Linked DNA regions of Styela clava. The protein of the gene in region 1 binds, or shares a complex with, the protein of each later gene. Links are inferred from orthologs where the notes say so. Each region holds a gene or a part of one and is shown on either strand. Other genes may lie near its edges.

Region 1 (7,660 bases):
AAAGTTTGAGAATTTCAATTAGCAAATCGCAGGTTGTTTAAATCAATGATTATCTCAAAGATTGATTCTCTACTCAAATGTGCACACGCCTTGGTGTTTAGCAATATCATTACAAAAAAGTATTCTTACCAATGTCCTAACATAAGTATGAGGATCTGGAAATTTAGGATAAGTAGAATTTTCCGGAATATGTGTTGGAAAGTTTCTTCGTTCACCAACAAGAAGAACATTTGGATTTTGTGAAGATGTTGTCTTGGAAACTATAAACATATAAATAAGACTTTAATACTTTGTGAGACTTCAGACTTTAATACTTCATTCAGGTGATGAAGTAGTCTATTCAATAACCTAAAAATGTAGTGATCGATAATTGAATGATTAATTGTACACTTTCTATATCGTTAATCCCGCAATGGTTAGCAAATAAATTTCAGCAATTTGTTATGTTATGTGAACGATGTTTAGAAAGAAAGACATTTTGAAATTCGAACACTCTGCTACTTAAATTAACAAATTAACTGGGTAATTTTTTTTTCAAAAAGAATTTTCAATATGACTGGTCCAAACCATAATTCTGTGTTGCACAATTTTTCCTTTCTTCCAATAAATTTACATATTTCTTTCAGCAATTTATTCATTTTTGGGTCATAATTAGTTACCTTGCTTTGAGAGATATATTCATATGAAAAATTCAAATATACAAATCATATAAGTGTTGAAATATAAAAAGTCAGAAGCAAATGAATAACAAAGACATACCAAATTCACCTACAGGGGTGGTGACTCCTTTAAGGCCCATGGGCCGGGGCCACGGCCCATCTAATTGGGCCACATGGTCCGTGGCGGCCCATCAGAAAAAATTCAATTGTCCTACCAAAATTTTCAATTCTTACAAAATTGTCAATATTCGAACAAAAAAAAATCGCGGGATGCCATCAAACCTTTTTCTTGCGATAAGCCTTTACATAACAAGATAGCTATGCTCAAATATATGGACACGTAGCGCCACCTAGTGGGAATAATTTTAATGACGTCGTAGTGAAAAAAAAGTAATAGCCTTCTGGAGAAAAATTTTATCTTCAACCACTAAAAATTTCAAAGCAATTGGTCCAGTATTCGAAGAGAAAAGCGATTTCTTCAAAACGTGTCAAAGAACAACAGTGAGAACAACAACAACATAATATTGAAATGATCGCTATGTCCACTACGTGTCCAAAAATAAAGCAAAATACTAAGCTACAGAAAAGGATACACCTGAAGTATGTGTACCAGGTTAGGAAATTAGGACAAAACTTTGTTCAGATTTTTCACATTATAGTTCTATTATAAGTTCGGGAAGTGGGTAGGATTTACATATTTATTAGTCTTTATTATTTCATCCCATTACACAACTTGATGGGCCGCGGCCCATTTCAATGGGCCGTAGACGAATCACCACTCCCACTCAAATTCACCTACTCCACAATCATAAACCTTTTGTATGAAACCGAAAAAAGAGTTTGAACATTTTTGAATAAGTTGAAAAATAACTAACTGACCTTCACCAATGGAAACTCTTCGCTTATTTCTTATAAAGTCAGGCAGTGTATTGAATTTGAATCCTGCATCAGCCAATGCAGTTTGAATATCAAGAAGTGTTGGAAGACTTCGTCCTCCTATTTCGCAGTATTGGCGAGTACTTCTGGCTATCTCTGTTAAATCTTCAGTGAATAAAATACATATTCAGTTTCAATTGAACAAATTCTATTGATGTAATAACTAATCATTAACACTGATTTAGATGCAATGATTAATTCCATTTCACTGAGTTTCAATATCCCTACAAATGTGTGGAGAAATTGGTCTGACAGGTCAAGAATAATCTCTTTTTTAATGTAAAATTCACTTCTTAATGTAAAATTATTCAAATATTGACAACATGTATTGCTTTTTACCTATCTCACTAATAAAACTAACTACACCATGCCATATTAATATCACTCTTTGTGAAATAACTAACTTAGATGTTCAAAAACCTTGTTCAGTCGAGAGATTTATTAGCCATTGAAAACGTTAATGATGTTGAACTATAGAAATAAGTTGCCAAGTTGAACATTATTTGACATAAAAATATAAAAACGACCACGGCTTATCGATTAGGCAGGATTAAAAAAAATTTCAATAATAAAGGTTATTGTCAAAACATGTGAAACTGTAGAAAGAACAAGCTAATATAGTTAGCATTGCAATTATATGATGAAATCTGGAAATGGTTCACTTGCAAAATAAATAAAAGCACTTGGAATTATAGAAAGATCAAAACATAGTATTCAACAAAACTCCATTTTGTTATGTATATTACGTGCATTGTTATGATAATATTATCGATTTATCATGGTTTAGATTTGATGTAAATATCTTCAGTTAATCGCAATACCACTGGTAAATAGGGAAAGAAGAACATTACCTCAATTAACAACATATATCTATATATTGCTGTATCAGTGTACTAAGTTTGTTAAAGATTGAATTTTATATTTCCAACCTTTCAAGACATTTAATTTATGGCATTTACTTACATAACAGCCCGAAGTTCAATACATTAGCGTATTTTTGTTTGTTTATGTCTGGCCCAAATCTCTCTATAGCAGGTTTTTTTTTTTTGTAATTTTTTTGTGCATGTGCTGTTTTAAACTTTTTTAAAGGTTTTGCTCGCTTTCCAGAATTCTTCATTTTTGTGTATTATGGAGTTTTCAGAATTAACTATCTATCTATCATTGACATACAAAAATCCACTTACAGCTTTGTGCAATTTCTGTCAATGTCTCCAGTGCGGACTTTCGAACAAACTCGCAGCCGTTTTCCACACACACTGCACCAATGGCTGCAGTAAGGCCTTGTCTATATGCCACAGATGGATCAGTTCCTTCTTGAGACATTTTAACAACTGAACACGAAATTTCTGCAACATCAAATGAAGAAAAGCTACCCACGGAAGCTGTGAAAAAACTGCTGTATCTTTGGTGGCGAATGTGTCCTATAGTGGTGGTAGCATAAAAGTCATATTGGGGATGGCAGAATAGGGATGGCGAAATACGGTCGAAAAGTGGCAGATTAGGGATGGCGAAATAGGGACGAAAAGTCAAATTGGGGATGGCGAAATGCGGTCGAAGCGTGGCAGATTAGGGATGGCGAAATGCGGTCGAATGGTGGCAGATTAGGGATGGCAAAATGCGGTCGAAGCGTGGTGGCAGATTAGGGATGGCAAAATGCGGTCGAAGCGTAGTGGCAGATTGGGGATGTCAAAATGCGGTCGAATTGTGGAGCAGATTAGGGATGGCGACGTTTGAGAAAGTGAAGGGCATGGTGTCAGTGTTACCGTACCGTACATCGGTACCGGTACCATTAGTGGTGGTAGCCTAAAAGTCTCATTGCGCGCAGCGCATTAGGAGCAGCGCATTACGCACAGTGAGGCCGCATTAGGAGCAGCGCATTGGGCACAGTGAAGCCGCATTAGGCGCAGCGCATTGGGCACAATGCGATATCGCATTAGGAGCAGCGCATTGGGCACAATGCGTGGTGGCATTAGGAGCAGCGCATTGCGCACAGTCAGGATTGACAATTCATCCATCCATTTTATCATTGTTTATGGAATCTATAATGACAAGCTAGACACGACTTTTAAAAAGTAGCAACAGTAATTCGACTTGAATTGGTACTCGAATTTGCTGGAACTCGGCTGATGATACGTTACTGTAATTTGCTCGTTGCGAGCATCGCATTAGGAGCAGCGCATTGGGCACAGTGAGGCCGCATTAGGAGCAGCGCATTGGGCACAGTGAAGCCGCAATAGGCGCAGCGCATTGGGCACATGCGAGATCGTATTAGGAGCAGCGCATTGGGCACAGTGAAGCCGCATTAGGCGCAGCGCATTGGGCACAATGCGAGATCGCATTAGGAGCAGCGCATTGGGCACAATGCGTGGTGGCATTAGGAGCAGCGCATTGCGCACAGTGATGCCGCATTAAGAGCAGCGCATTGAGCACAGTGAAGACGTATTAGGAGCAGCGCATTGGACACAATACGTGGTCGCATTAAGAGCAGCGCATTAGGCACAGTGAGGCCGTATTAGCAGCAGCGCATTACGCACAGTCAGGATTTAGCATTATTTATGGAATCTATAAAGTCGAACTCGACTTTTAAATAGAATTCGACTTGACTTGGCAATCGAATTTGCTGGGACTCGGACCGGTGATATGTAGCCCCAATTTTATGGGGTATTCCATACATCCCATTCAACAAGGCTTTGCATAAGAAGTTACTAATACATCTGCTATGCATTTTAGAAAAAAGTTATGAGTGTTCCCATAAATATGTGCGATTAATTCACATGATGATTTCAACTTTCCTCCATCCTGAATTGAATGCAATTATATCGTTCTTAACCTCGATCTTTATGCAAAATAAAAACAACAGCAGTGGAAAATGATATTATGTTTAATTATACCACACACATAACATAAAGGAAAGAGATTTGAACTGTCATTTATTAATATTTTTTTCTAATCACTTATAGTCATAACATATTTTAATTATTTGCTTATATCTTTGAAGTTTATGCTCAGATGTCTCAGCTCTGGAAGGAGTTTCTTCTGATGATATTTTAATTGTTTGACCATACGGCGGGTTCTTTTTTGAAATTTAGGTCCATGTTCACTTCCACCTTCATGCATCAAAACCCCAGCTGCGTGAACCATTTCGTGTATTATTATTCCCAACCTTTTCTCCCTAGATTTGATAAAAACGATTGAGAAGTCTTTATATATCGAAACTTATTTATCCGTTTCCTCTGGCTCATTTTTTGACGACTTCATGAAAATGTTTCGTAAAGCTTCGAAATGTATCCCTGTGGATTCGCAGTCGTCGCAAGTCCATTTCGAATCTTCTTCGTGGTTTACTTCAGGAGGTTCTCTTAGACATTTTCTGTGAAACTAAGTTCCGCATGCCACGCATTTATGCATTTTTCACCGTCGTCAGGCATACGGCGCGCGTATTAATTTGAATTCATACTACAGTATAGGAAGACGTGCACTTGTGATATTTACTGTCCGAGTCCAATCCACCTTGGTTGGCTTTTATATTGGGTGCATTGCTGTTTTATTCTTTATATTTAATCTTAGTCTTATTTCGGTGGGTGTGCAAAGCGTGTTATATTGATAAAATATATATTTTTAAACATAAAAAATAATGTAATTGAAACTGATTAGCTATTTTGGGGATTAGACATTGTAGATACTGAGAATTACATTCGATTTTGGAATGTTTAGTTTCCAGGACTGGTGCATATAGTAAAGTTGCAAAATTGCGTATGTCCCCAAGTCATTGACACATTTCTGACTAAGTCACAGTGCGTTAATTAACTGCGTCATACAAATTAACTCAAATCCGGCAACAATCAAAAAATTGAACCATGACAAATTATTGACTCTCAATGGCATAACAATATCATTAGGAAGTTTTTTATGTTTTTCTCAAAACTGCTAAATATGACTTACGCAATTCGGTTATTAGCGTGACGATATTTAAAAAAAAAACGATTGGAAATGTTTATTGATAAATGGAAACTGGAAAAGAGCAATTTTGGAAAAAGTTTTATAGTTACTCATAGCCATTTAGGCATAAACAATCAAAGTTGTATAAGGCTTTGGGTACTCGTGAAGTATGTGCACCAAGATGTCGCACAACCTGAACCCTAACCTTGTGTACAACCTGAGTTCAGGTTGTGCGCCATCTTGGTGCGCATACTTCAGGTCGTCCAGGCTTTGTTTAATAAAAGTTCTATAGATTGCCTTTTACCCCATTGAAACAACTCGAACAATTTAAGCCACATGTTTTGTGTTTCTGGCTATATTTTATCGGTGTACATCACCCACACATGAATATGCATTTAATGCTACATACCGTCAATATGATGATAAATATCATTATGATAAATACAGGAAAATCACAAAAACAACATATAAAATGATTTGATTTTAAAATAAACATTGCCGCAATCAGAAAATGGTTTGTTTTTAATTTTCTATAAGATTTGCGCTTGACCTATTCAGTTTAAAAAAGTATTCAGACATAAACTGGTACTTCCATGAACAGTTTACCAGTTACATTTCCTTAATAATTTACATTGAATAATCAAAATCTAATAAATACTGCCTCACTTCTGAAAATATACTCTGAAGTTCACAAATATGTTAAATCTTGTAACGCATTATCGCTTTTATATTTCTCTATTTTAATGTTTTTTCCACGATTTAAATTAATTTTGAACTCAATCTATATCTTCAATGATTATTCTGAACTGAATTATATGTGATTCAGAATCATGGGGCAAATTTAAGTCAGATGTGTTTTTCCAACGTTTCGTTGGATCATAGCAAGAATTCTTTGAACAAACATACTTATGATAAAAAAGCAACCGCAAGTAAACATGCACAGTGAGAATCGCGCCTGGTATGTTGAAGAATCAATGAAACTTTTGAATGCATCATTAACAGTGGGGAACTTGGATGATAAAGCTGATTGAAAAGTATTCAGCGGATTTATATTGAGTAATTTATGTCAATAAGTATGGCATTATCTCTTTTCACGAAATAACAGGTATATTTGTAAGCTTTCGTTAGATCATAGTCTAACTCCTTTAGACAAACAAGCTATAACTGCAGATATGAATGTTTTCTGATCCTCATGTCCAAAATAGTTTGCAGTCGTCTATAAATCTTCGGTATGTCTTAATAATCATTATATTCTCATCGAAGTTATCTGGCACAATAAGACAAATATATTTTCCTATTGTTTCGTCTGACCAATTTCAGACATACATGATTCCACTGTAACAACAAAAGGCAAAGCTGTTAAATTACAGTAACGTGTCACCAATCTAGTTCTATCAAATTCGAGTACCAAGTCAAGTCGAATCACTGTTGCTACTATCTAAAAGTCGAGTCTGGCCTGTCCTTATAGATTCCTTAAACAATGATAAAATGGATGGATGAATTGTCAATCCTGACTGTGCACAATGCGCTGCTCCTAATGCGACCTCGCATTGTGTCCAATGCGCTGCTTTAATGCGATCTCGCATTGTGCCCAATGCGCTGCGCCTAATGCGGCTTCACTGTGCCCAATGCGCTGCTCCTAATGTGATCTCGCATTGTGCCCAATGCGCTGCGCCTAATGCGGCTTCACTGTGCTCAATGCGCTGCTCCTAATGCGGCCTCACTGTGCGTAATGCGCTGCTCCTAATGCGCTGCGCGCAATGAGACTTTTAGGCTACCAACCCCTCTCACCGGTACCGTACGAACATTTTAAGGTTCTTAAGTTTAGCATGTAGCCTAAATGTACCTGCATATGCCAGGATACGGTAATAGGTACCACCTACCGGTACGTACCGTAGTGAGTACGGTACCGGTATGTGGCCCATTACAGCATTACCGTAATCTGTTAATGCTAATCCAGTCCTTGACGGCATGGGCAGTGTAGAGAATGGCAGTAGACAGAAAATAAGAGATTTAACATTCTTCTGGTTCAAATTAGGCTACTCTGGCAATTGTTTTGGTGGTAATTACAAGGACAGTACGGTACCGGTACCGTACCAAGACTTGGACTTTTAATTAATATGGTAACG
Region 2 (7,785 bases), on another chromosome or scaffold:
CATATACACCGAGTGGAGCCGGAGCTGGGCCAGCACTTATCGTTTGAGTGATAACTTTTCTTTCAACAGCAGCTGCAAAACTCTCTGAAACAGTTTTTACACTTTCTACAGACACCTTTCGTTCTTTGGCAGGTATTGGGCTGTCGCCAATAGAAGAATGTGACCGTTTTTTGGTACTAGATTTGACACTAGAATTGCCACCTTGCTTAATAACAAATTTTTTCTCACTTGCTCCCATTTTTAATGTTAGTTTTGGTACCATTGGGGAAGGAGCATCAGAATCAAAAGAATCACGTCTTAACGATATAGCGACGTCTTTCTCAGGATCTTTAAATTTTTCTCTATGATGACTTCTTTCTTTGCTTTCCCTTCTTATTTCTTTATCATGTGACCATCCAATATCAATATCTTTGTCCTTATCTCTATCTTTCTTCTTCTTTTTCTCTTTCTTAGATTTCTTCTTTTCCTTTTCTTTGATTGTTGCTGTAACATTCATGACGGGAACTGCAGCAGAAAGTTTTGGCAATGGTAAATTTCGACTAATCACCGGAGATGGTGGTGAAGGTGACCTTGCGTGTTCTTTCACTTTGGGTTTGACTACTTTTGCATCTCCGCTCTTTGACTTCTTCAGAATTATTTTTTCCACTGACATATCGTGTTCACCAGAAGATTGTTTAACTTCCGATAATTTCGGTGTCGAATGCTTTTTATGTTCTTTTGTCTTATGATGCTTGCCTTCTTTAAATTTATGTTTCTCTTCTTTAAATGGTTTTGGTGTTTGTTTCATGTCAGCTTTAAACAAATCTTGATCGACGTCAAAAAGTTTAGGTTCAGGGTGTTTCAAATGTTTTAGTTTAACTTTCATTTTAACTGATTTTTCAGATATTGTTTCTGTGGTAACGAAAGATGCTGGTTTATGAATGTGTTTATCCTTTTTCGATTTTGAATGCGATTTGTGTGAGGATTTGCTGCTTCCATCATCTGTTCGTTTCATTTTCTTTTTGTGCTTCTCTTTTTTACTATGTTTTTCATGTTTGGATTTTGACTTCTCACTGACAGGTGAAATTTTTGGCGGTAATGGTATTGATTCACCTGAATCAGAATCAACGATAACATCTTCATCTTCATCATCTATGTCAAGAGATTGTGGAGTTTCTGCGGATGACGGAGTAGGAATGGGAGATGATCCTGGAGTAGGAGGATGTGCATCTCTTAGTCCTCTTTCTTCCAGTTGCAACATTTGTTCCACTTTATGAGAAACATCCGCATCAGAATCTGATGAACTAGAATCCTCTACAAGATGAGAGAATCTCATCAAATCTGCTTCCTCCGCATCTTTTTTAGCCTGCTCATCTTTCTTTACAGTTTCTTCTGAAGCTCTATTGATAACAGCATCAATTGCATCATCCATAGATTTATAAGATGCAAAGTTGGAGCGATCTTTATCTTCGAGACTTTTGCCAGGAAAAAGCTTCTCTTGTTTGATTACAGGAGAGGTTTCTCTTGAAGGAGGAAAATTTAAATTCTCAACAGGATGCTTGAGTAGTTTTTCAGCTCGTTCAATGCTAGATCGCACTGGAGACTTAGGAGGTGATTGCAGACCAGGCTCACGTTTTACTGATTTTGGAGTTTGAGGTTTGTAAGCAGGTACAGGAGGACCCTGGATAAGTCTTTCTGCCGCCTCAATCTTAGCTTTTATAGGCTCGTCCCCTAGGTCAGCTTTCTTGCTAGATGATGAATGTTTGAATGATTTATATGGTTTGTGATGAGATGATTTTCGGTCAATACCTTGTTTCGAAAAATGTTTGTGGCTTGAAGAACTGCTTGGAGTCGAAGTCAATCTTTGCTTTCCACTTTGAGGAGTCATGAGCTTTTTTGAGCTAGGTGTGCCCTTGTTACTAGGTGTAGAAGAATAATCTTTATCCTTACTTAGCCATGGTTTCTTTTCCACCGTGGAGCTTCCAAGTGATAAATCTGGTGTGTGTTGTTTAGATAAATGGACAGGAGATGCAGTTTCACCTTGCAACCAGTCAGCATCATACACATCAGCAGTTTTTTTCTTTCCAGACAGCCATTTTGGGTCTTCAGATTTTGTAGTTTTGGACGCCCAAGAATCCTTACGCACACTTGAGCTCGTGGATGGCACATGACGCTTTTCTGGAGTGGGTTTATCAGGGCTCAACCATGGCAAGTCTTGAAAAGGTTTAGTCGTTTTATGAGATGGTGTGTAATTATGTGGCTCATCGAAACTCTTTTTCCCTTTTACTACAGGTCGTTCATGTAATTCACTTGCCGTTTCAAAACTACTTCGTCTTGTTGGTGACATGCTACCACGCAGCTCATCCCATTCAGACATCATACTACTTGGTGCAGTACCTTCAATTGTTGGAATGTCTTCTGGTTTTGTCAAATGACGAGACTTCACTGGGTTATGTGATAGGGAATCATCGGACATGTATTCTTCATTCGATGCCTCACCTGCAGAATAATCATCTTCATCAGAGGAAGAGCCTTGTGCTTTGCCAGCAATGACAAATGTTGCTTTCTTACTTTTTTGGCTTTCAGGTAAATCATTTTCTTCAGTTTCAACAATTGGTTTTGGTGGTGCAACAATCATTGAAGGCATGTAAAGAGGAATATGTTCCGCTCTGTCAAAATCTTCAGGATTATTACCAGAAGGAAATTGTAAATTCGAATCCTTTGGTGCAGGGAACATTGGCACCTTATGTGGGAAAGCAACCGGCTCCATTTGTTGCATGTACTCGACTAAATCAGGGATAGCAACATGCATTCTTTTTAATGCAAATTCTACATCCAATAGGTTCGGTTTTGTCTGACAACATTGTTCACTAAAATCATGAACAGACTTTGATAAAACAAGTAAATATTGTTCCAACACATTGGTGAGAATGTCAAGAGAAGATGATTGAATTGAATCAAATCCAACAGCTTGACTAAGCTGAGCTATAACAACTCTCAGCACACTTCTGCTGTATTTCTCCGCCATGACAAAACCTTACTTAAATACGGACTTTATGAAATATACCTGGGTATAGAAATACAAGTAAAATATTTTAAATAGCAATAATCAATATTCAAATGTATACAATGAAAAATCATGATTTCAAAAATGAAAACAACACAAAAAAAAATTTTCAAAAATAATTCTCATACAGAAACATTTGAAAAAAATGACAAATAGGATGAAGTCAATCTTTTTGTTTCCAGAACGACAACAGTTATATTACACAAGGCACGAATTGCACAAATAAAATGGCTGGATTCAATGAATTTTATTTATTAACGAAAATGGCATAGTCATTATTGTATACAAAGTAAGATGATATGGAATGATCAATATGTCGATAATAATTCTGACACCACTCACAATAATAGTATTTGGGACAATTATCCTGATGACGGAAACATTACTGCAATAACATCAAAATTGATTGTGATGAATGCTGACAAAGAAACTTTTCATTGGAAGGTTTGTGAAAAATTTCAACCTGACCCATAATATAATATTAAAGACTTTGAAAAATAATAGCCAATTTTGATTTGAATCTTTGACACATTTTTACTTTAGATTGTTTCCAATCGATCACCTAACATTCCAGTACAATGCATACTTGATTGCATAATCGATTTTTTAAAGAGACACTGATAAAAAGTTTCCACAATTTTCTATATATTTCTGGAGGTTGCAAAAACTGATGAGCATTGAACTTATAACTAAATCCTATGCTCAAAGTTACAAAAAAACAGACAATGGAGGATATTTTAAAACGTTTCTCTTTGTCAATTTTTGAACAAATGGTATTTTCCATCAACTCAGGGAGATACAAACAAAAAGTTTAAAAATTCACTTCTGAAAGATTTCAACAATATTGCACAATATATTAAGAATGATCATTTTATAACAATATTAACTAGTTTACCATTAAGTATGCAAGATGGTATATTACGAAATGCAATATTCGTCCACATTCAAGGCAAATTTACCATTATATCACAACAACAAAAATCATGTTTATGGTAAAACAGACATAACTGGACATGAATAAAATTATTCCAATCAAGAAATATTTGGAGTATAAAAAGTAATATAGCCAGAGGATGAACACATTATAAATACCTATATTACTTCATATAATCAGGTTTTGCATATAAAATGAGCATTAGAATTTATCAATGATGATCAACTGGTGTTCAAGAAATGCAAAACTGCATGTTTAACAGTAAATGGCAATAAACAAGCATTTCCTATTAGTAAATAATGGCAATATTCATTGGTAAATTACAATTGACATTACAAAATTACTTGTTTTCAATGTCAATGTTCAACTTTTTTCTATTACCATTGTGTTAAGTATTGTTGGTCTTCATTAAGAGTGTCACTGCACGATAATCAGTATTATTTTTTTCAATTCCAATTTTACATTCTGTATATGCAGCATGCATTTCCATTATGGGGGAAAATAAACTACTGATTCTATTACTTATAACATTGTACACCTTTTTATAAGGTGTGTTTGCTCTGAAAAGTGATCTTGACAGGCATTTATTCATACCTATAGAGCTATTATGTTGAATAACAGCATAAGCTTTAAAACAGTAAGCTGAACATAATGTAAAGAAACATTACAAGCACATTATAGTTGCAAGAATACAACAAAATAATCACATCTCATGTCAATAGTATATGCACTCTAATATATGAAAATATCAGCTTTTCAAATCAAAACACAGTGATACCTCGGCCGTCGAACATAATTCGTTCAGGACTGGTGTTTGACTACCGTGACAGACTACATACACATCCTACTACGTTTTGGCCTTCGCATCCATATATTTGGGCATCTCTCTTGAATGGTCAAGACGCGGACGAGATGCGCGGATTGGGAGACGTCATCTGATCATCTCACTCGGCCACATGCTCAGGTGTTCGAGCACCGAATTTACGTTCGAGTACCTCAGCATTTTTGACTAGAATTTTTTAGCCTACTACCAAATTATTAAGAGTATCGAGTTGTTCGACTACCGAGGTATCACTGTACATTCATCTTATATATAAAAACAGTTAACATTGAGAATCAAAAGACAAACAGTCATAAACATTTGAATTCAAAAGCACTGCCAGAAATGTTGGCTCAATTAAAGAAAAAATCAGAGATAGGCAGAAAATCAGTTAAATCAAGCAATTGCCTATACATTTTAATGCTATTTACATAAAATGTTATGTAAAATAGGCTTGTTTTTTAAAAAATTTATAGTTCTGCCATCAAGCCAAAACTATAGCCAAAATTTTCTGGGTTCATGTGATAAATTGTTACACAGATTACTTTACCCCATATAATTAATGTCATATTTCAGCCTAGCAGATTATGTATACAAATCTGTTGCTCCACTGAAAACGCAGAAAATATTATGAAATAGCAACACTGATAAAATATATATATATTTTAACGTTATTTTTTGATAAAGGCCGTTTAAATGGAAGAACGCACTGGTTTGAACACAATTTTGGTTTGAACAAATCTGTTGGCAATACAATTCAGTGAAATTTCAATCTTTGTGAAAATGTTATGGAAATATGCATACAAGTATGTTAAGATAACATTGCATAGGACTTGTTATGGAAAGTCTAATAGAAAACTGCATGAATTTTAATATTTCATATTAAAGTGTATAAGAACGGGCATAATTCAATTTCAAAATTAGTTAACTTCATGATGGGTAGCAAAAACTATTGATCAAAATGATATCAACATTTTATGCAATAATATAAGGTGAGCGAGATTTTAAAAAAGTAAGAATCTGATTTCAAAATGATGAAAAACAACCAATTCAGGCTTTGGAAGAAAAAATAAAAGCTCTCAATTTGCATGAAAAAAGGCAACAGAATGAGTGTTGAATGAGCGAGTATAGACCTTAAACCATGTCACATCCATGAAATACAGTTATCATTTTTCTTTTTACTAAGAGGTAGTAGGCAATGTTCAATTTACAATCACATATCTGGAATTCAAGAAGGGAGAACAAAAATTTACTTCAAATGAACATACTTAATTTGTTATTTAATAAAGTTCAAATTGTTTGAGAGATTTCAATACTGTTACAGTATACCGTATATGCTCGTTTTACCGCCCGATCTTGATTAAGGGCCTGTTTGAATAGCCGCCCGTGTGAACAAAACATAAAAATAAATAAGGGCCCGTGCTTGAATACCCGCCAGATGTAAAAGCTGACTTTTTCAGTGGTAGAGAACAATAGGAAATAAGAAGCGCTTTTGTCACAACGCTGTTGAATTTTGAGCGCCGGTAGATAACACTCACGCCTCAGGCGTCCAAGTCAAAACAGATAGCATTGATTATGTAACACCATGGTTTTCAAACTGGGCGTCCCGATGCCCAAGAGCATCGTTTCAATATTGATGGGGCGTCGCAAATCTTTTCTTCTTTTGCGGATTTGTACCTGCGGTGCGTAGAAAATGTCAAAATTTTCGTTATTCTCGTTTAAACCATACTTGAGAACTGGAAATAACAATATATTATTTATTGTAACGATCGAAAATAACAAGCGTCCGTGCTTGAATAAGGGATGGTTTGCATTAAGGCCCGGTTAGTGAGTTGGTTGAAAAAAATATGGGCCCGGGCTACAAAACGAGCAAATACGGTAATCATAATTTGTCTTACCAATGTCTGATAACTCAAATTTCGCGAAAAAAAAATGGCATAAACCATGATCAAATGGTTAAATTTAGCATATTTCACATTAGTTAAATTTAAATCTAGTGGATATTTTGAAGACATCAAACCGATAAGAATTCTCTTCAACCTGCTTCATGTTTTGTTTTCCCGATACGAAGTCTGTGGCCAGAATGCCCCATACTCACTCCACAGTTCATAGTTTGACAAAAAATCATGAAGCAAATTGTTTAATTCAAACTATGCTGTTATTTTTTCCACCCAATGTGTCATAGAAGCCTTCAGATCCTGCATTGTTTCACTAGCATTGTCCAAGCTCAAGATTGCCATAAATGCCAGGTTATGAGTTTGAAAGGATAGAAGGTGGTGCATATGAGAATCCAACAAAGGCATCATCAACTTCTTGAACACTTGCATTTACCTATAATTTAATGTAAACATTGCATGTTATTTTAATATAATATGGAGAAAGGATATACATACAGATATTGGAATAAATCAATCACATTGTTGTGTGAGACACAGCCACAGGCCAGAAAATGTACTAACAATCAGTTACAAGATAGACTTAATTAACAGCAAATATTGATATATCAGTCTTTTGTAGCCACAAAGTGGCAAGCTGATCCATTGAATGAAAAAAATTGCATCAATACACACAAACTTACAGTATGGTCGTCATTTTCCCCAAGAGATTCTGGAACAGGTTCTTGAACAAATTCTGGATCAACATGCTTTAAGTCTTCAGGCCCAGCCTTGTATGAAAAATATATCATAAAATTTAAACTGAGAATATCTTAAAACCGCAAAACAAATCTATCAGATAAAACAAAGTACAAAAGATGTTCCAGCTCGCCAATATAATTGAAGACAAAATTTGTTCATGAAAATTCATATTGGTAAATTCCTTATTCTACTAGCTCAGTGGTTCCCATACTTTTTAAAAATAATTCCATGACAGAACCTTTGCAATTTTTTTCAATTATTCCTGGCCTTGAGCACTAGAACAAAACATTAAAAGATCACAACAAAAAATCAATGCTCCGTTAATGAACATTAAAATGAACAAAAGTCT
Region 3 (6,719 bases), on another chromosome or scaffold:
TGCCGTAGAGTCAGACAAACAGGGGACCGCTGCACAAAAAGTTTAGAAACCCTGGCTTAAAATGATAACTTCTTTAATAAATCTATCGTAAATTATTTCTAAAACCCAACTATTTGGTAAATATCTAACAAAATTAATAACAGTATGTCAGATTACTGAATAAATGGTAATTTTATTCAGACAGAAAAGCTCATACCGTCAGTATCAAATGCCTTTTTCAGCACAGGCTTCGTAATAATCACTTTCAGACCATAAGTATGGTTTGGGATTGAATAGCACAAAACCAACAATGTCAAATATTACCTGAGTATGGAATACAAGCTTTTGTTTAGGTTCTGGAGGTTGTTCGGTGTGGTTACTGTTAGTTTGTTCATAAGCATTTTCAGTCCGACCATTATTAGGCAAATTTTTTTTCTTCTTTTTCCCAAATAATCCAGAAAACATGTTGAATGATTATGTTTATCAAATATAGAAATAAACGGGATTCATACTATAATAATTAGATCTTGCAGTCTATAAAAAAAAGCAGATAATAGTAAGTGAAATGACTTTTAGTAAGCAAAAAAACAATTTTTGAATTCTTAAAATTTTATTGAAAATCACATTTTGTAAAGAAGGGATTTACATTGATTGAAATGACATTTCTACGTAAGTTTGACAAAGGATTGGTAAAAATGTTGTCCAAGATAAAAAAGCAATGAGTGCTATAATATGGGAAGATAAGCAAAACCTTTTATTTGCACCACATACATCACTGTATCCCAATTATTTACGTGTATATTTTCCTGATGTTGAGGAGAGCATGTCAAGAAGAGAAGAGTGAAATTGTTGCATCCCTTAATTAATAATTAGCGTTCTAGGCCCAACTTGGCTTTTGTCATAGCAATATCCTTCATATCATCTTGAATTCTGGAACGAACGACCTCTAATTCACCTTGAAATTTGACTTTTAACATTTCATTTGTGATTTGGCCTCTGATTAGTTGTTCTTTCCTTTCCTTACGTTTTTTGAGTTCGGACACTTCCGTCATTAATTTAGATAATCTCTCCTTCAATCGTGCTCTCTCTCCTTCATTGGTCACGACAGGAACGCCAGATGGAATTTCGATAAAATCTAAACTGTCGTCTTTATCAACGTCTTCCACGTTTACGTCATCATCGTCCTCTTTTTCACTCTCCGAACTAACTTCAGGAAAAAATTTATGAAGTTCATCATTTTCCAAAGATTGACTAGCATCATTAGAATCTGAATTTTTCGATTTATCGTCCAATTTTTCCTCTTCTGTCATTATTTCATATCTCACATTCACAGCTTCAATATCAGCTTTTAGAAGTCGTTTCACTTCTTTCTCTATATCAGGAGAGTCAATATACTTCTTTTTTGCCGTTTTACGAAAACGACGTTTCCGAACATTTTTTAGTGGTGGAGTAATTCCATGTGGCCATAGAAATTTCCGCTCTCTCAAATGATTCGATTTTAAATTTTGCTGAACATTAGAATTATGTTCACTTAAATCTGTATCGGGAGTACAAACAAGCATATGGCTAAGATTATTAGTTTTATAAAAAGTCTTCATATCTACAGTTTTTTGACATTCAATGACGCAAGGTAAGTCCCAAACTTTTCCTGAATAACATTCCCCATCAAATTTCACTGCACCATGTCGTAAATCATCATGCATATTCAATGTTAGTCTGTCTTTCAAATTTCCAGCAAGCATAACTTCATTGAGTTTGGTGGCAGCATCCGGAGGTAACCTCATTAAAAAGTAATTTTCCAATTCAAATGGAGCATTGCTCGGTTTATCCATGGCTATAATATACCTAAGTGTCTGCCAGAAATAACAATAAGAAATATTATATCAACATGCATCTAGTAATATGATGTCGAGCATTGCATAATAGTGTATATATATTGCTTGGCAATAAAATTTCAGAAAAAAATGAAGAAAATTAATTTAACCCTTGAACTTCTTTTTGTGTATGATGGAAAACGAAAGTTTCAGTAATCTAAGAAACTTTGCACAAAAATTATGTTTTCTCCAGAATATAGGTTCTGTTTTTTAGGAGGCAGCCCTGTATATATAATATATCCTCAACTTATATAAATCTACTTGATTATAATAAACAGACCTCCTGAAGTATGCGCACCAAGATGGCGCACACCCTGAACTCAGGTTGTGTACCAGGTTAGGGTTCAGGTTGTGCGACATCTTGGTGCCCATACTTCAGGAGTACCTAATGAACAATAAAACACAATATTCGTAAAACGGAAACACAATTCTATAACACTTTTAGCAACATATCATCTTCTGAATTGTAGGAAAGAATCTTCCAATAGTCAAACTTGACTGAGTACAACACACAAAAAATTGAAAACTCAAAACCAAATGACTGAAGGTATTCGAGAATTTGTCATTATATTATACTTGTACAATATTTCTTAACTGTCTCGATTTTATAGTATAAAATAAAAGATGAATTCCTGCAAAATATTGATATTCAAATACCAAATATTATCTCAAAAATCATGACAGGAATAATAAAAAATTACAAATAGAACTCATCACTGAATAATAAATGAACTGTATTTTATATAACATATAATAAAAAGATTTAAAATGCAAATTTAAAAACATTGCATAGTATTATCATAATTTATTACTATCGATTACCCAAAATATTTAGGCTTAATATCAATGAAAGTAAAATTCCATACATTAGGCATTCCTTCATGATAGGAAGAATTTTGTGGCCATTTATATGGCGGAATATCACTCAATCCACCAACCGTCGGCCCATTTATTGCATGAGTAGTAAAGGACTTGGCCAAAAAGTAATCGGTTGCTTTTGAATCAGTGCACCCCATATAATTTGAATCATTGCGACAACATATAGCATTGCAAGCATCACCTTCTGAATATTTATCAAATTTATAGTTGTTGTAACGGAGAATTTTTTTCATACTTTCCATATCAACAACAGTGCCTTGATCACGTCGAAATATTTTTGCTCTCGGAGCTAAGTCATGTGACAAATCAGGATCGTTTTTGGTAACAGCCGGATACCCACTCATATTGTAGATAGATTCATAAAAGGGTACGTTATAGGAGGCCCAGTATCCCTCCCTTAAGATATTTGTTTGGTCATGAGATTCAACAAATCCTGGTATTTGTTCCACAACATACAACGCACCATCTTCGAAACCAATTTCAGGCGTGAATTTTTTCAAGTCAACCACCATGTATTGATTATTGTAAGTGCCAGAATTGTGAAATTTGATGATTTCGCCCCAATCATACCCATTGCTAGCTAGAAGATTTGCTGCACGAACACGATGCCAAGCTAAAAGGGATTTAGGAGTTACAAGATCATACAAGCTAGTATTGTATATATTGTTTGTAGTTTGTAATATAACCATTTCACTTCCCAATATATAGAAATCATCCCATGACTGGAGAAAACCAGGATAGCTAGAAAATGACATTTTTGAATTTTTATGTTCCTTACCGAAAACTTGAAAATCATAGTTCTTATAAATACGAAGCATTGCGCTGTAAACAAACCAGGTGCTATGTCCCATATACATGTTTTCAAATCCTGGAGTAACTTTAATAAGAACAGAACAATGACCATGTTTCTGGTTATATTGGCGAAGTTGTTTTTTTGACATTCTTTTAAAATGATTTAGCGATGGTCTATGGAAGACGTTAAATAAATCTAACATGTCTCCTGCTCCGTTCAACAAATGCATTTGGCACATGCTCATACTATTATTGGCTGTCAGAGTATATCCAGCCAGAAGTCCCTCCAATTGACTTTGCATGTACCCAACGGCTTCCCATCTAATATCACCTTTCCCAGAAATCACATTCTCCTTTAACCATTTTTCTTGCTTGGCAAAAAAATCACAAGAACGATTGTATATATCAGCAGGTCTGTTATCAAACAAAAAACCTTTCAAATTCTCATAATTTTGATATATACGCTTTGATGTAAGAGCTCCTTCTAACATTCCAGCGGCATACATAATTTGATCAGGAGAGTATTTCATGTTATGCGTCGTTGCAGTGATGTCGAGGATGCCCCATCCTTTTTCTGCAATCTCATCATTATATTGTCCATAAGCCAATGCTTCTTTCACAATTTCTCTCTTGTATATAAACACTCCATCAGAAAGAACAATACTTCCCTCCTCAGCCAAGCATATAGATTTTAGACTTGTTGATATTATTATAAAAAAAATTATTTTGAAGACTTGCATTCTGAAAGATCATGTCCTGTGAACAAGTAAACACAAATTACTGAATTATATGAAATGTAATGATAAGTTGTTTTAACGAAACAATGATAAATATATGTTAATGAACCTAAAAATCTGTATGTATTTATATACCGATAATAATGTTTTTAAACAATTCCCAAGACACTATATTCTGATATTAGGCTATTATATTTTTCTTTTTCAATGGCTCCACAAAGTGGATTATTATTTTCTAACATCTTCAAAGGTGAATGAAAGCCCGAATATTAACTCAAATTGTCATGTCTGCATGTGCCAAAAAATGATCGAAGAAAGTCCGAGAGGCGAAACATTTGGAACGAATCGGCCGTACAGTTTTAGAGTAAAAAAATGTTTCCTATGTTCAGTTACTACAATTAAATACATTTCAAATAATGGCAGAAAGAAAATTTTTAAAGTTTTAATTGAAAAATTCAGATAAGAGTTTCATGGGTAGAAAAAAAACAAAATTCCACCAAATCAGCCAATATTAAAACTATTGAAAAACTTTTAAAATCAAATGCAAAACCTAACAGCAGGAGCATTATACCATGATTGTAGCAGGTTACAAGCACATGGTATGCCACTTCTGCAATATTCTGATATTCCATACCTGACTGAACCAAAACAATATTGTTGTTTAAGCTAGTATCAATACGGTACCGGTACTGTAACAACTACAGAACTAGGAAACTCCTATTCCTCTCCACCAGTGTTCAAGTTTATAGAAACGTTAACTACTTCTTTAACGTACTACTTCGGTACTTCTTTTATTAATACCTTCCCACCTAAAATATGTAAAACCTTACTTGAGGTTTCGTTTGCTTTCCCGATTCTATATTCAGTTTCATTTATTTTGTTTTCATCAATTATCTTATCGTCTATTGCTGATTATGGAGTTGAAATAAACTTATATCTAATAACTATTGGATTTTCAGTGGATCTTGCACCATATAAACTTACACAGTTATGTGGAGTATACTCTCATACCATTTACAAACTGTCTAGTAGAATCTTTTTTTTTTTTTTTTTGTGCCAAATAAATTCCAATGCCAAACGGAATTTTCGTATTAATATTTTGGTATCAAATCATTTTATTATAAATATATAAATAGATATTTTTTTTTGTTTCCATGTTTTTGTTTATCATTTTTTAATTTAATCCCATTCCCCCCAATACATATGAATAGTAAAAATCAAAATAAAGACAAAATTCATACCATTACCATGATGTCATTAATTTAATATAATCCAATATATGTCCAAAAAAGTTGAGTTAATCCACATGTAATCCACTCAGCAGTTAGTTGAATATAATTTTAATTTACAGGTAATCAGTTTTTATTTTAATTTTTTAGCATGAAAAATACAAGAATACAAAAATTAGACAGAGAATATGGAAAAATCCACGCTTTCATATTGGGTTTTTCCCATTCGCCATCTATGTTTCATAGTCGATACATCTTCCTCTTATGAAAATGATGTACAGATAACATACTTTCAATAATTTTCAGAGTATGGTGTTGCATATAAACTTACATCATGATTGACCTATGTAAAAGATCATCCATGTGCTCATATAACAATAATTCATTTCTTTCGCTTGCTTTTAGTAAATTTAAAATCCCTACCAGTTTACACTTGAAAATTGAACGCATACTACTTTTCATTTTATCTCTTTCATCATATTTTACTGAATTTCGATATTGCCAAATTGTTGATTTTCCGCATAATATTGTGATTAATTTTGATTTGCATTCCGAATCGTTTGCTATAATAGTATTTTGATTAATATCTATGCAACACCATTGCCAAAAATCACTAGACCAGTCACATTCTAAAAATAAATGACACACAGTTTCTTCAACATTATTTTCACATAAGACACACATTCCTGGTTCATCAATGAACCATTGTTTTATTTTGTCTCCAGTGGGCAACCCATTATGAATTAACTTCCAACATAACTCTTTATACTTGTTTCCAATATTTATTTTCCATATTTTATTCCAATTAATTGCCTTAGTTAGGTGAAATTTATTAAATATGTATTCCTCATGGTTTTTCAAAAATGTATCATTTTTCTTACTTTGTAAAATCCTATAAATTTGATTAGTGGTCAAGTCTTTCGACCCATTGTACCTATCAATTAATATTCTTGTTTGACCAAATTCCCTATTCCTTGATAAAATCTCTCTCCATTCTATTGGAAGTGCTTCCCATATTTGCCGTAATTCATTTTCGCACTTATTTATCAAGCAGTTTCTTCTTAAAGTACTTATTGCAGAGTTTTCTAGCTGGGGGTACACTCTGTTGGAAATATCATATATTGTTTTGCCAAAGTAGAATCTGTCGCATGCCATGTTATTGATATGGGCCGCTACCTTTTTTTGTGCCAAATAAATTCTAATGCCAAACGGAATTTTCGTATTGAGAT
Region 4 (6,481 bases), about 2.3 Mb from region 1:
GTTCATGTTGACTGGTGGATATGGGGTTGCAAATTTGCAATTGTTAAAGTTCAATTATTTCCAGTATATAAAACCATATTTTGAACATCATTTTTAAATCAAAATCGGTGAAGATGCCATATATGTTTCATATATTTACCACTCTAGTTAACAACAAATGTCAAGATAATGGAATCATTATCCAAAAATTACCATAAATGACTACAGTGATATTGCAAATATAAACTCACGAGTCTTGATCTTCTTACAATCATAAAAACACCTATTCCAGCAATCACATATCCTGCATTCTGTTAAAAACATAATAATAATACATAAAAAAAAGTCTGGCATAATAAATACACTAAAGAATACAGCAAAAATTACCTTCACAATCCTAATGTGCTTGTCAAAAAATTCTGATGCTTTATTCACAACATCCATTCTTGTGCGGAATGTAAAACATTTTGACAATCCTTAGATTCAAATCACATGACTAACTTACGATAAAAACCATGAAAGTTAATCTATAAATGTAAGATAAAGTAAAACAACAAAAACAGAAAATATGTTAACACCAGACAAACTGAAAAAATTTGATTTACATCAGTATTGTTCGAACTCTATCATCAAAAAAAATTAATGGAGTAAGTTAGGTCAGAATAATCTCCATCACATTGTAGTGTGATCAAGTGCCAATTATGTTATAGCAATCTTCCCAGTTTGCATTTTTTAGATTGGAATGAAATTTAAACATTCAAAATACTAATAGGCGAGTAGCCTAGACTCAAACAATTATACTCCAGTCCAGGAATGTGCAACATTTTTTGTCGGTGGCCCATATAACCAACTTCAGACATTCAGCTGGTCTGCACAAAAAATTTGGTTTTTCCATGGATACAACGAATTAAAAAATTCGCACAATGCAAAAATCAAATGCAGCGACAAGAGGACAGAAACATTACATATTTTTAACCATGTGAGCGCATTTTTAAACATAAACTGTCGGATTAGGATTTTATGCTTGGTGGGGAAAATCTGAGTGTTGACAAGGTGTGTTGAGCTGAGTGTTGCACACCCCTGCTTCAGATTAAACTATGAAGATATCACACCTATGGTACCGGTATAATAAATTGGATAGGCAGAGCTAAACCGGAATGATCCGGTTCTTCCAAACTATAATAGCTCCTTACTTAATAGCTGCTTGTTCAGAGCAAAACAAACATAAATATTTTATATAAAGAGTGAATGATAAATTATGGCCTCTTGATTTGATTAAAACATTATCAAATATTTTGTACAGACGAATTAGTCTTTGTAAGACATGATTCGGTTTATTGCACAATCGGACCATTTATATTCACAATTCTTTTCCCATTTAGTTCTTTTTCAAGTGCAAATTTGGAAATCAAAACTTCGCTTCATCAAAAGCCCTTCTTGCTTTTTTAAGTTCTTCATTCATAGTTAATAAGTCTTTAACTCTGGCATATTTTCTTGCATCTTTTTGTATGAGATAAACAATGTCTTCAACTTGCACTCTTCCAGGCCTTCCGATCTGCAATGCTTTATGTGTGAGTTCTGTTATAAATTCTATAACAAGTTCTTCTATGAGTTCTGCTGATTCTGTATAGGGGTTGGTATCATCTCCGAAGCCATACATCATACATCGAATTTCTTTAAAAAACAGACGTTTCTTTTTATCTAAATCTTGTTGGCTGCTAGATTTTGAATGTTGAGGACTTTGCTTTGTACCATCAGAGTCTGCCATTTCCACCAATTCTTATGTTATTGGAGAGCTTGCAATAAATTAATTTGTTAGCTGCTAGTCGGGGGTCTGAGACGAATGCCGAAATTAATAAATTCAATTTTCAATACCTGAATTTTACATGTTACTGCAATTACTAACGATACCTATAAAAATGAAAACGCACATAAATCTCACAAGCCGCGTCGGATTTCCGCTTTTTGGATTTTACAAAGAGCAGTCCATAGAGCCATAAGCGACACAGGTAACTTACGTGCATACATTTGTGTATAAACAGGATTTTAGGATATGTTTGTGACTAGGTTTATCGTAAGTTCGTAACAATGGAAATTTAACTTACCCACATTCAACTTAAAGATTTTAAAATTGATTGTGAAAATTTCGATTATCTGCAGTAATCTAAAATCAAACCTAAAATGGTTGCTACCCCGAGCATAGATTTCGTTGGATAATCAAACCAATCACTCATTTTATTTCGGTTCTCCGGCATAAACAACACAAAAAGTAAACAGACTAACAAAATGCAGAGATACCCGGGATGCGAGCATAACTTAAAATAAAGTTAAAAAGTCACGTACCCACTACCCAACATAAATTAAAAAAAAAAAAAAAAAAAAAAAACAGGAGAGTGAACGCGATTCAAAATCGGGCAACATTTTTGATGGGGCTTTAAAAAAAACAGCAAATTCAAGTAGATCATATAATTAGAGTTAGTTCGGATACCTATAATTTATACTATCCGGATAACGGATATATCCGGTTACAGTGGCGCAGCCAGGGGGGGGGGGGGGGGGGGTCGGGGTCGAACCCCCCCCCCCCCTTTTGAATTTTCCGAAAAGTGAAAAAGTTGCCGATAACATGTGCAATTGCCTTCTGCTGAAATCGCCGTTCGTTTTCATCAACGCGGCATGTTATTTATTCCGTGAACGCCCTTTACATGTGTTTATTCTCTCTAATCTCACAAATTTGTGCCGCGGGAACAATGGTAACTATTTTATTTTTGTACCCGCACGGAAATGTGAAAACTGAAAAAGCGTGCAATTGCCTTCTGCTAAAATCGCCCATGTTTTCATCAGCGTGTTATTTGGGCCGTAAACGCCCTTACGTCGGTTTTTATTCTTTCTAAATCATAAATTTGTGCCACGATAAACATGATAATTATTTTATTTTTGTACTTTGCACGGAATTGTGAATTCGTGAGTTATTATACGTTCATCGGTGGCGAGGTTCTAAAGACAAAAGAAGGAGTAAAACCGCGATCTAAATTTGATTGAAAAGCGGCATTATAAAATACTGAAAATAGAACCGTAAACAATATAAGTTTTGTTGAGTCCCGCGACAGTCTAAAAAAGCTTTTCTAGTCGCAAAATCGCAAAATTTCGTGTGCCTATGGCGCACATTATGTTTGGTCGCCGTTTAGGAACATACCGTCACTAAAATCGAAACACGGTTAATTGTGGGTGGGATTTGCCTTTTATCCATTACTTACGATTTTTTCCCGGTTTGTGATGATATATAAGATAATTAATCCGAAGTATATCCATCAATCTTTATTGTACTGAAATAAATTTTACTCCATGAGAATTCACAGCAGATTTACGGATTTTTCAGGAGGTTTTATCTTTAAAAATAATCGGAGTGTCAGCATTGCGATTGAACGAAGTCAATGTTACAAGCACATCTCAAATTTGTCGAATTTGCAAAATAGAAAAAATACGGATCAAAACAATATATGATAGGCGACGGGCAGTTACCACAAATTTTTATTTTTATGTCGGCAAATGGCCGAGGTATTTTGAAATTGTGAATTGTAAAAAATTGTTTTGTTTTGTCGACGCAAATGCTGGTTAAATTGAAGACAATTAAATTAATAAAGCAAGACATTTTAAATATGCCCTTATCGGTCACGAATTGATTACTTAGCACAACAGAAAAATCATTTTTCGTTGTTTAAGAAGTGGCGTGATCGCGGCGATTTTTGATTACGAAATAAAATTGTACTCTTCGGGATTTTATATCAGTTAATGTGATTTTTCTAACGGCGATAACGAGTTGGCAAGATTCCAAAAATACGTATTAAAATTAAATACACCGTTTGTCCTCATATTTTTATGTCCACCGATGCCGTGGCATTTCAGAGAACTAATGTTTTTATTTTGACATAAGAAGAAGCAACCGCGAGTTACGTTGGACACAATTAACTTAATAATTTAGAACATTTTAGAATTTTGTAGTTGTCAGAGATTGAATATTTCACGCGACAAGAATAATCATTATACGCTGAAAAGACGTCCCTTTAACGAGCGCGTAATTCGAAGACTGTTACAGACCGCAATGGGAATTTATGATTATGAACCCCCCCCCCCCCTTTTGAAAATCCTGGCTGCGCGCCTGTCCGGGTATCTCGTATTTTAACTATGCGGTTAACCGGATAGTTGCCGCTAATTTTGGAGAACCGATTTCACACGATTTTCGAGGCGAATTGACTAAAAACCAACACACAGTTATATTGCAAATACGTACTATTTTTCTCGAATAAAAATGATTGTGCATTTCGATGTTGCATGTGTCAATAAATAAAAATTTAAGCTCCGTAATCGTACAGAAGTACAGCTGAATAATATAATGAAACGTGCTTTTTTGAATACTGTGTCCTAATTGTCTTCCCTCAACTGCTACGTTATTTTATCCTATTCAAATCATATGTAAAGAATTATATTATTGGACACGTCAGTGTACATAACGATCGTTTTAATATTATGTTGTTGTTGTTATTATTCTCCTCTTTCGTCATGATGAAATCGCTTTTCTCTTCGAATACTGGACCAATTGCTTTGAATTTTTTTACTGGTTAAAGATTGATTTTTTTGCCAGAAGGCTATTACTTTTACTTATTTCAAAAATGCTGTGGACTTCAATAGATTCGTTTTTCATGTGTCAGATTAAAAAATAGCGACACCTTGTGACGTATCCATATATTTGAGCACAGCTCTCTTGTTTCTTATTATTGTTAAATTTTTTTTAAAGTTTCTTTTTGTGTCTAGAGCATTTTTTCTTAAAATTTTGACTTATACTAAATTTTGGTGTCGCACACTCACGATGACCATTTCTTTAAGCTTTTGTGTTCAACTAGTTTAACCGTAAATATATACTACTACGGTTTAACATACATCTGACTTAGATAGAATATATTTATTGGACACGTTTAGTGGACATAACGATCGTTTTTTGGACACGTTTAGTGGCCATAACGATCGTTTCAATATTATGTTGTTGTTGTTGTTCTTGTTCTTTGACACGTTTTTAAAAAATCGCTTTTCTCTTCGAATACTGGACCAATTGCTTTGAAATTTTCAGTGGTTAAAGATAAATTTCTTCGCTAGAAGGCTATTACTTTTATTTATTTCAAAATTTTGCGTGAATTCTATGAAATTTGATATTTCGTCTAAAATTTTGCTGTATTATTTTTGGACACGTAGTGGACATAACGATCGTTTCAATATTGTGTTGTTGTTGTTGTTGTTGTTCTTTGACACGTTTTTAAAAAGTCGCTTTTCTCTTCGAATACTGGACCAATTGCTTTGAAATTTTCAGTGGTTAAAGATAAAAATTTTCTCCAGAAGGCTATTACTTTTTTTTTCGCTATGACGTCATCAAAATTATGTGACTCTACGTGTCCATATATTTGAGCATAGCTCTCTTGTTTATCCATGGGAACACGAATTTTAGTCAGTGTCATGACTGGCTGTACGTTTTGATTCTGCAAAATTCTTGCTACTGGAAATTCAGCACTTTTTTGAGGGTACCGGTAGCGCCAAAGGTACCGGTAAAGACTGATTCGCTCTGGTCTAACGTGTCCATATATTCGTGCGTAGCTCTCTTGTGTTGTTATTGGACACGTAGTGGACATAACGATCGTTTCAATATTATGTTGTTGTTGTTGTTCTTGTTCTTGTTCTTTGACACGTTTTTAAAAAGTCGCTTTTCTCTTCGAATACTGGACCAATTGCTTTGAAATTTTCAGTGGTTGAAGATTAATTTTTTCGCTAGAAGGCTATTACTTTTATTTATTTCAAAATTTTGCGTGAATTCTATGAAATTTGATATTTCGTCTAAAATTTTGCTGTATTATTTTTTATCCATGGGAACACGGATTTTAGTCAGTGTCATGACTGGCTGTACGTTTTGATTCTGCAAAATTCTTGCTACTGGAAATTCAGAACTTTTTTGAGGGTACCGGTAGCGTCAAAGGTACCGGTAAGGACTGATTCGCTCTGGTCTGACGTGTCCATATATTTGTGCGTAGCTCTCTTGTGTTGTTCTTGTTGGACACGTAGTGGACATAACGATCGTTTCAATATTATGTTGTTGTTGTTGTTGTTCTTTGACACATTTTTAAAAAGTCGCTTTTCTCTTCGAATACTGGACCAATTGCTTTGAAATTTTCAGTGGTTAAAGAGTAATTTTTTTGCTAGAAGGCTATTACTTTTATTTATTTCAAAATTTTGCATGAATTCTATGAAATTTGATATTTCGTCTAAAATTTTGCTGTATTATTTTTTATCCATGGGAACACGGATTTTAGTCAGTGTCATGACTGGCTGTACGTTTTGATTCTGCAAAATTCTTGCTACTGGAAATTCAGAACTTTTTTGAGGGTACCGGTAGCGTCAAAGGTACCGGTAAGGACTGATTCGCTCTGGTCTAACGTGTCCATATATTTGTGCGTAGCTCTCT

What was found.
Region 2: transcription initiation factor TFIID subunit 8-like (region 1) and uncharacterized protein LOC120346397 share a complex: the UniProt entries of both Homo sapiens proteins name them as parts of the TFIID basal transcription factor complex. The link is inferred for Styela clava from reciprocal best matches to the Homo sapiens genes TAF8 and TAF3.
Region 3: transcription initiation factor TFIID subunit 8-like (region 1) and transcription initiation factor TFIID subunit 7-like share a complex: the UniProt entries of both Homo sapiens proteins name them as parts of the TFIID basal transcription factor complex. The link is inferred for Styela clava from reciprocal best matches to the Homo sapiens genes TAF8 and TAF7.
Region 4: transcription initiation factor TFIID subunit 8-like (region 1) and transcription initiation factor TFIID subunit 13-like share a complex: the UniProt entries of both Homo sapiens proteins name them as parts of the TFIID basal transcription factor complex. The link is inferred for Styela clava from reciprocal best matches to the Homo sapiens genes TAF8 and TAF13.

Annotation. Positions count from the first base shown.
Region 1 is NC_135258.1:11,736,319-11,743,978, forward strand, and holds the start of transcription initiation factor TFIID subunit 8-like, read right to left. Parts: upstream 3,028-7,660; 5' UTR 2,919-3,027; coding exon 2,780-2,918; intron 1,701-2,779; coding exon 1,539-1,700; intron 261-1,538; coding exon 130-260; intron 1-129. UniProt on the Homo sapiens protein: The TFIID basal transcription factor complex plays a major role in the initiation of RNA polymerase II (Pol II)-dependent transcription.
Region 2 is NC_135257.1:9,008,601-9,016,385, reverse strand, and holds the start of uncharacterized protein LOC120346397, read right to left. Parts: upstream 3,011-7,785; 5' UTR 3,008-3,010; coding exon 1-3,007. Other genes in the region: serine/threonine-protein kinase Sgk3-like, read right to left, coding at 7,051-7,131, 7,379-7,465. UniProt on the Homo sapiens protein: The TFIID basal transcription factor complex plays a major role in the initiation of RNA polymerase II (Pol II)-dependent transcription.
Region 3 is NC_135259.1:4,891,061-4,897,779, forward strand, and holds transcription initiation factor TFIID subunit 7-like, read right to left. Parts: upstream 1,812-6,719; coding exon 849-1,811; 3' UTR 513-848; downstream 1-512. Other genes in the region: PDZ domain-containing protein GIPC2-like, read right to left, coding at 304-444. UniProt on the Homo sapiens protein: The TFIID basal transcription factor complex plays a major role in the initiation of RNA polymerase II (Pol II)-dependent transcription.
Region 4 is NC_135258.1:9,412,569-9,419,049, reverse strand, and holds transcription initiation factor TFIID subunit 13-like, read right to left. Parts: upstream 2,347-6,481; 5' UTR 2,085-2,346; intron 1,814-2,084; 5' UTR 1,748-1,813; coding exon 1,388-1,747; 3' UTR 506-1,387; downstream 1-505. Other genes in the region: protein C3orf33-like, read right to left, coding at 231-290, 367-423. UniProt on the Homo sapiens protein: The TFIID basal transcription factor complex plays a major role in the initiation of RNA polymerase II (Pol II)-dependent transcription.